2 linked regions of the Mus musculus genome follow. The protein of the gene in region 2 purifies or fractionates together with the protein of the main gene of each other region. This does not show direct contact. Links are inferred from orthologs where the notes say so. Each region holds a gene or a part of one and is shown on either strand. Other genes may lie near its edges.

The links. Proteins that work in one complex are often made in the same cells at the same time.
Region 1: the proteins of Dusp9 (region 2) and Mapk11 purify together in Homo sapiens (affinity purification with mass spectrometry; 4 studies listed by BioGRID and IntAct, with this or other methods). This does not show direct contact. The link is inferred for Mus musculus from reciprocal best matches to the Homo sapiens genes DUSP9 and MAPK11.

What each region holds. Positions count from the first base shown.
Region 1 is NC_000081.6:89,141,864-89,144,322, reverse strand, and holds the end of Mapk11 (mitogen-activated protein kinase 11), read left to right. Parts: intron 1-8; coding exon 9-182; intron 183-505; coding exon 506-585; 3' UTR 586-1,841; downstream 1,842-2,459. UniProt on the Homo sapiens protein: Serine/threonine kinase which acts as an essential component of the MAP kinase signal transduction pathway.
Region 2 is NC_000086.7:73,637,814-73,642,255, reverse strand, and holds the start of Dusp9 (dual specificity protein phosphatase 9), read right to left. Parts: upstream 2,816-4,442; 5' UTR 2,615-2,815; intron 2,064-2,614; 5' UTR 2,029-2,063; coding exon 1,452-2,028; intron 910-1,451; coding exon 454-909; intron 173-453; coding exon 1-172. UniProt on the Homo sapiens protein: Inactivates MAP kinases. Has a specificity for the ERK family.

The sequences.
Region 1 (2,459 bases), on a different chromosome or scaffold from region 2:
TCCTGCAGCCATAGACCTCCTTGGAAGAATGCTGGTACTAGACAGCGACCAGAGGGTCAGTGCGGCCGAAGCCTTGGCCCACGCATACTTCAGCCAGTACCATGACCCTGACGATGAGCCAGAGGCAGAGCCCTATGATGAAAGTGTTGAGGCCAAGGAGCGCACGCTGGAGGAGTGGAAGGGTGAGCACAGGGATGGGGCGTGGGGCGTGAGGATGGGAAAGAGAGCAGTGTCCGTGAACCTGAGGGTTGCCTTTTCTCAGAGCAAGATTTTACCTGTTTCATGCAGGAACTCCCCAGAACTTCCCCAAAGGTCTGGGATGGGGAGGGGAAGCAGGGGGTGGGGTGGGGGAAGGAGGATGGAAACATATCTGTTTCTGAGTGAGACATGTAAGGGTGTGTGTGTGTGTGTGTGTGTGTGTGTGTGTGTGTGTAGCAGAGGTTTGGAGGGAAGTGGGCAGACAGCATAATCTCACCCTTCCCCCCTTTTTCATTCCCCTCCCCAGAGCTTACTTACCAAGAAGTCCTTAGCTTCAAGCCCCTGGAACCCTCACAGCTCCCTGGCACCCATGAAATTGAGCAGTGAGGCATTGCCTGAAGTGGGAGACCTGAGCCTGTCCCCTCTACTCAGCTTTCCGGCTTTCCTCAAGAGGCGCCTCTCAGGCAGCCCTGACACTTAACCTGGGACCGACCCCCTTGCCTTGAGAAACTCTACACACACACACACACACACACACACACACACACACACACAGAGGAATGCACGGATGTGTACATATGCCTCCCTCCCATTATGTGCTGGAGTCTGGGCAGTAGTGTTTCTGGACCTACCTTGGTCCACCCAGGTTCTCCTTGGGACCTCCGTGTGTGGGATCTGAGTGTGTCCCTGTCCTTGTCCAGGTCTCTTCTGCTCTTGAGGACTATCTGGATTGGGAGGAAGGCTAATGGGCCATGGTCCCTGGAGACTCTGAGGGAGGGGGAGTCACAGTGGTTGGAGATGCTCAACCAGGAAGTGAGTGGCTGAAAGCAGAGGCAAGCCCAGTGTCCCTCCTAACTGAGTGGCGTTTCCTCTGGGGATGGGAAAGCTGAGACCACCATCAGATTATCTATCTAGTCAGAAAAGCCTGCTGAAGATTTGTGGTTGCCTGTGGTATGTGGGCACATGGGCATGAGTATGCACCCTGGGATACACATCAGAACAAATGCAGGCATGTGCTGGTGTGTATGAATCTCTGAGCACCCAAGAGGCAGCAGCCATTTCTGGTCTGGTGCCTAAGTTGGAGATAACTCTTGCCTCCTCTCCCCCCAAGTTCCTGTTTTCTAATGGGTCTTGAATCCCAGCTGTGAACTAGACCAAAGGCTCTGAGAGGTGCCAAGATCCATTAGTTTAAGCAAATGTAAGGGTATAGGAGCAGCAGCAGGATCCTGAGTCACAAGGGCACAATGCCAGCTGGAGAGCTGATGAAGTTGGGGGTCTAATCTCAAGGATGCTAGGTGGCCAGCACCCACGGATGTGAGCATGGACATTCTTGCCCCGGGACCTTGATTCAAAGTTGACAAACGTCTGTCCACGTTCTACCTCCACCAACCCTTGAGGTTCTGCAGCTGGTCTGGGGTGCTATGGTTTGCAAGTCACCCCTCATCTCCCCATCCCCCAGAGAGGAGCTGACCAAGTAACTTTTGAGGTAGGGCCCTGTTTGAAAACGCGTTGGGGGTGTAACGCCTCCCTGAAGAGACAATGATCTCTTGCTTATCAGGGACCAAGGGGCTCTGGATGTCAAGTGCCTGCACCAAGAGTGTGCACAATAAAGGGGCATCCCTCTTGCTCTTGTCTGTGCAAAAGGCTCTGGATCCCATTGCTTCTACTGATTCTGCTTCCTGGAGGGGTGGCTGGATCTCTGTGCCTCCGTACACTTCCTGCTAGCGCCACCGACTTTGAATTTATTGTGCCCCTTGATCACTCAATGAGAGCAGCAGTCATTTCTAGTACTATCGCAGCTTCTTGGGGGTGTGTGTGTGAAGAACCCAGGAGACCAGTGCAGGACAAGACACACTGGTTAGAAGGGGCAAAAGGTGTAAGAGCCAGCACACTTTGGTCCCTGCACATTAGGGACTTTGTACATTAGGAATGGTGGACAGACTTGGCTCCCTCTTACTGGTGAGGCTGGGGATTGTCCCTAGAGAAAAGATCTGTTCTTCCTCAGGGATTGGACAGGATATGGGAAATAGCTTTCCTTCCTGACTAAGGCGAAAAGGCAACTTTAGCCCAGGATACAGCTCATGTGTCATGTCTATGTCCTGAATCTTGGACCGCCAGAGATCTGAGTCTGGCAACTGGTCCAGCGGTGGAGGTTGGGGCCGGGGGTGGGGTGGGGGGGTGGACCTAGAAGGCAAGAGCCAAGTCCAAAGTTGGGGGATTGGGAGCGGGAGCAAACCCAAATACATGGCCCTAGTACCAAA
Region 2 (4,442 bases):
ATAAAGTTGAAGTTAGGTGAGATGTTAGACTTCTTCCGCTTGACCAAGTCGTAGGCATCGTTGAGTGAGAGGTGAAGCTTCTGCATGAGGTAGGCCACGGTGACAGTGACAGAGCGGCTGACCCCTGCCAGACAGTGGACGAGCACCCCACAGTTCTGCGACAAGGCCTCATCTAGGTAAAACAGGACAGAACAGAAACACCCCCTAAGGGTCACTATGAGTGAGACCAAAGCTATACGAATTTCTGGGATCACCATCACTGCCTCCCTACCCTGCCGAGACCATATCTGAAGGATCTCTCTCACTGGCAGTTGACCTGAGCTCTACCCCCACCTCCCCAAGTGTCACGTGGGCTCTGGGAATGGAGTCAGGAGGACGAGAGGCCAAGAATCAGTCTGGTGGGTGGAGATTGTGGAGGGGGAGGGACAGGGGGACAAAGTAGGGAGGACTTACCAATGAATGCAATGGCCTCCGGAAAGAACTGGGACAGATTCTGGCTCCAATGGTCAGAGATGGGGATCTGCTTGTAGTGGAAGTCACCATTCTTCTCAAAGAGGTTAGGAAGGTTGGGGGTGACATTGAGGATATAGCGGATGCCAAGCTTGGCCAGGCTCTCCAAATTGGCTGAATCTCGAGCACTGCCTAGGTAGAGATTGGGCAGGATCTGGACTGGGAAGGGTGGTAGCAGCCCAGCTGGAGGGGATGTGGTGTTCTCAGAATCTAGGCCACAGCTCAAGGTGTCACGGTCAGCCTCAGACTCTGCATCAGAGAAATCAGAGCTCAAGCACAGGCCACCTAGCCCCACCACAGGCACTGGGCTAGACATTGAGCCCAGGCCTGAGCCGGCACGACCACTGAAGCTGGTTTCACACAGGTGAGGACACTCGGCCTGGAACTTGCTGAAGCCACCTGTCAGGAAAGAAGGGCGAGGTCTTACTAGTTAATATAGCCTCTGGGCAGCCAAGTATCCCTAGCTGGGGCTAGGGAGCTGACACCACACAGCTCTCCGGGGTGGGGGTTGCAGATATTGCCAAAGGGAACGCATAAGCCAGCAGATTTGTTTAAACCACATGTGCTGTGCTATAGACAGCCATCCACCCTCACTCAGCATTAGTGACTGTTTCTTTGGCTGATAAGTGCCCAATGCAGCCCTTAGTCTTGGGGCATTATCCTGTGAACCAGGTTGTTTCAGGTCAATTCTCCCCATTATCCAGACTTATAAATGGGCTTGGAGGGATGAAGGACTTGCCCAAGGTCACGGTCAGCTCTGCCTCCCCAAAAGCTGTTGGGCAGGTTATCAGGAGGGAGGCGCTTACCCTATATTTTAGACAAAATAAGATTGAGTTTGCTGAAGGATAAAGTAATTATGAAATCCCCTTGGAAAGAAGGATCTTTTCTCCTGACCTGAGGCCTCTCCAGAGTGCTCTCTCAGGCCACTGACCCTCACTTACCCTGTAGGTAGTATGCTGGGTAGCCTTCTTCCCGCAGCTTCTGGAGCAGGACGCCCAGCACCGAGTCAGCATCCCACTCTTCTTTGGCCTCCGCTTTGGCCTCCGCTTTAGCCTCCGCTTTGGCCTCCGCTTTGGCCTCCGCTTTGGCCTCCGCTTTAGCCTCCGCTTTGGCCTCCGCTTTGGCCTCCGCTTTAGCCTCCGCTTCGTTCTCCGCTTCAGCCTTAGGTTCGGCCTCCGCTTCAGCCTTAGGTTCGGCCTCCGCTTCAGCCTTAGGTTCGGCCTTCGCTTCAGCCTCCGCTGCTTCACGATGGCACTGGCCACTGCTACCCTGGTCGTACAGGAGCACAGGGGCCGGTGGGGGAGGCTGCAGTGGTGGCCCAGGCAAGAGCGACCGCACCGACATGCTCCCCCTCCGCAGGCGGCGCAGCATCAGCGAGGGCAGGGCCACGCTCAGCGCCCCGCAGATGCGCGCCGACTCATACAGCTCCCGGCTGCGGCAGTCCAGCAGCAGAAGCTGTGGGCGCGGGGACGACAGCTCCTGACGCAGCCACAGGCATGACCGACTCAGACTCTCCATGGTCGCGCAGCGTCCTGCACGTCGGGCAGTGGGTGCTGTGGAGAGAGGCAAGGCGCGGAGTGAGGGCAAGTTTGTCTCTACTCCTGCAGCGTGGATCAGGCTACTGAGGCGGGAAGTCAACCCCTGTCCTGAGGGCAGGCTTTCAGTGTCCCCGCAGGGACATTCCTCTACCGCCTGCTTCTCTCCTCGCGCTCCACCCACAGTGAGAACACCAAGGAAGGCGCCCCTGGAAAAAGACCCGAGGCTGCCGCCACTTGGGCGCTGCTCCCTGCCCCGCTTACATGGAGTTTTCGTGAGACATACCCCAGAAGATAGCTGGGCGTCTACCGGTCTCTGAAGTGCTAGGAGGACTAAAACCAGTTCCCTCCACACCCCTTTTCTGACTTTCTCATTTGCTCTGATCTCCATCACTCCCCAAGTTCAATTTTGGATGTGTGGAGAAGTTGGGTTCAAGGCCCGGCTCTCCTCTAAAGCCCGGAAGACCCAGAGAACAAGAGGGTCACCGAGGTTGTGGGCCTCGGCGAGTCCCGTAAGAGCTGACTCGGCCCCACTCCTACCCACCCCAGGAGAGAACAAAAGGAGAGACCTGGAGCGAGATCCAGAGGCAGGCGACTGCACCCGGACGTCCTGGCCACAGCTAGTGCCACGGCAGGGCGTAGGTATCGTTCATGGAGACGGATCCCCCAGGCTTGGGCGCTCGGAGAGGGCGGGGTGGTGGAGCAGGCTCGCACGTGGAAGCCAAGCCTCGCGCCACTCGTGCGCCGGCCGCTTCCTGGCAGCAGAATCCAGATTCCACCTTGGAAGGCTCTGCCTTCGGACCGACTAAGTAGCAGCTCAAAGGGGCGGGACGGGGCGGGGCGGTGGGGCGGGCTCAGGGAGCAGGAGAGCCAACCAGGGCTAAGGAAAAGCCTGGTGGGAGTTGCAAGCCGCAGGCTGAGCTAGGGCTTCCACCCAGGCGGGACAGGGTCAGGGCAGAGGCCAAGGGCAGGTCGGGGGCCCAGCAGGGGACATGTTGCAGTTGCCCCTGCTTGGCGCCAGTCTGGTCCCTGGAAGCAGGAAGAGGGGTGGGGACAAAAGCCCAGAGCCCCAGAACCAGAAACTGTCTCAAACAACTCAATAATGCTGAACTACCTGGAACTAGATGGCCCCCATCTGTATAATGGGCCAATCAGAGCCTTCTAATGTATTTTACTGTGAGATGCCACTAAAAAACTGAAGGCACAAGGCAGCTCCTGGGTGTGCTATTTCCATCTGGGCTTCATTTGTACAGGCCTAGCTAAAGGTACACAAGAATTCCGAGCACCCAACTCTAAACTGAGACACTGTGCTCTTATCAGGTGAAGAGGGGCGCCTCCCCAAAGCCTCTTTCCCATAAGCCCCTGGATGGATCCACGTGGAAAGAAGTCGTTTTACTGCAATATGTCCCCATCCCCATTCTCCTTCTGGCTTTTCTAGTGGTCATGACTATACAAGTCACTGTCCCAGTTTTTGAAACTTCAGCGTGTCTCCACCCTGCCCCATTCCAGAGCACCATTCAGTCCACTAAGGCTGGTGGCCTCCAGCCAGCCCACTGGACAGGTGATGAACAGGAAAGACACACAAGGGCTCTCCTTGCCTGGGTGTTCTAGTCCAGCAGGACACACTAACAATAAGCAAAGGCACTGGACCAGATATCGGGGTGATAAGTGCTGACAATGAAAGGAGAGGCAGGGGAGGCTTCTAAAAAAGCCCCATCTGGCCATGTGTCCTTTCTCTGCTAAAAGCCCAAGAAAAGCAAATAACAGTTTTAAAGGAAAACACACAACAGATAAGATAAAGCTCGCACAAAATAATCAAAGGGTTAAGACCCCGTAGATAAATGGGTAAGGAACTCAAGGACTGCATACTCTGCCCAAAGGAAGGAATGTGATGGGGTAAGAATATATGGGGAAAGGTTGAAGCTCAGGCATGGAAGGAAAGCCAATTCAAAAAAATAGGGAAATACTTCCCAGTCACTACATTAGTAGAATGTTCTCAAAATGAGAACGCCAAGTGTTGGCAAGAGCTGACTGGGGCTTGATTATGTTGTGGACAAGTTAGTGGTGGCATGAGGCCATGGATGCAGACAGCTGAAGAGACAGTATCTTACCCTCCCAATCCTGGAGGTTGTGTACTTGGAGGGAGGATCTCCAACAAGAGGGAAATACTGGTATTCCCAGAAATCTAGCTGTGCTCTCCGGAGTAGGCTTTCTAGAGGAAGTGATAGGAACTGCCCTGGAGGATGAGCATGGGAGAGAGGCACCTCTCCATGAAGGTACGGGGAGCCTAGGCATCAATAACCCGTTCCACTCCTGTCCACACCTGAAGAATATTTTCCCTACACCTAGTCCCAGGCGCCTGCTGGCAAGGCCCCAATTCTAGCATAGGATAGGAGA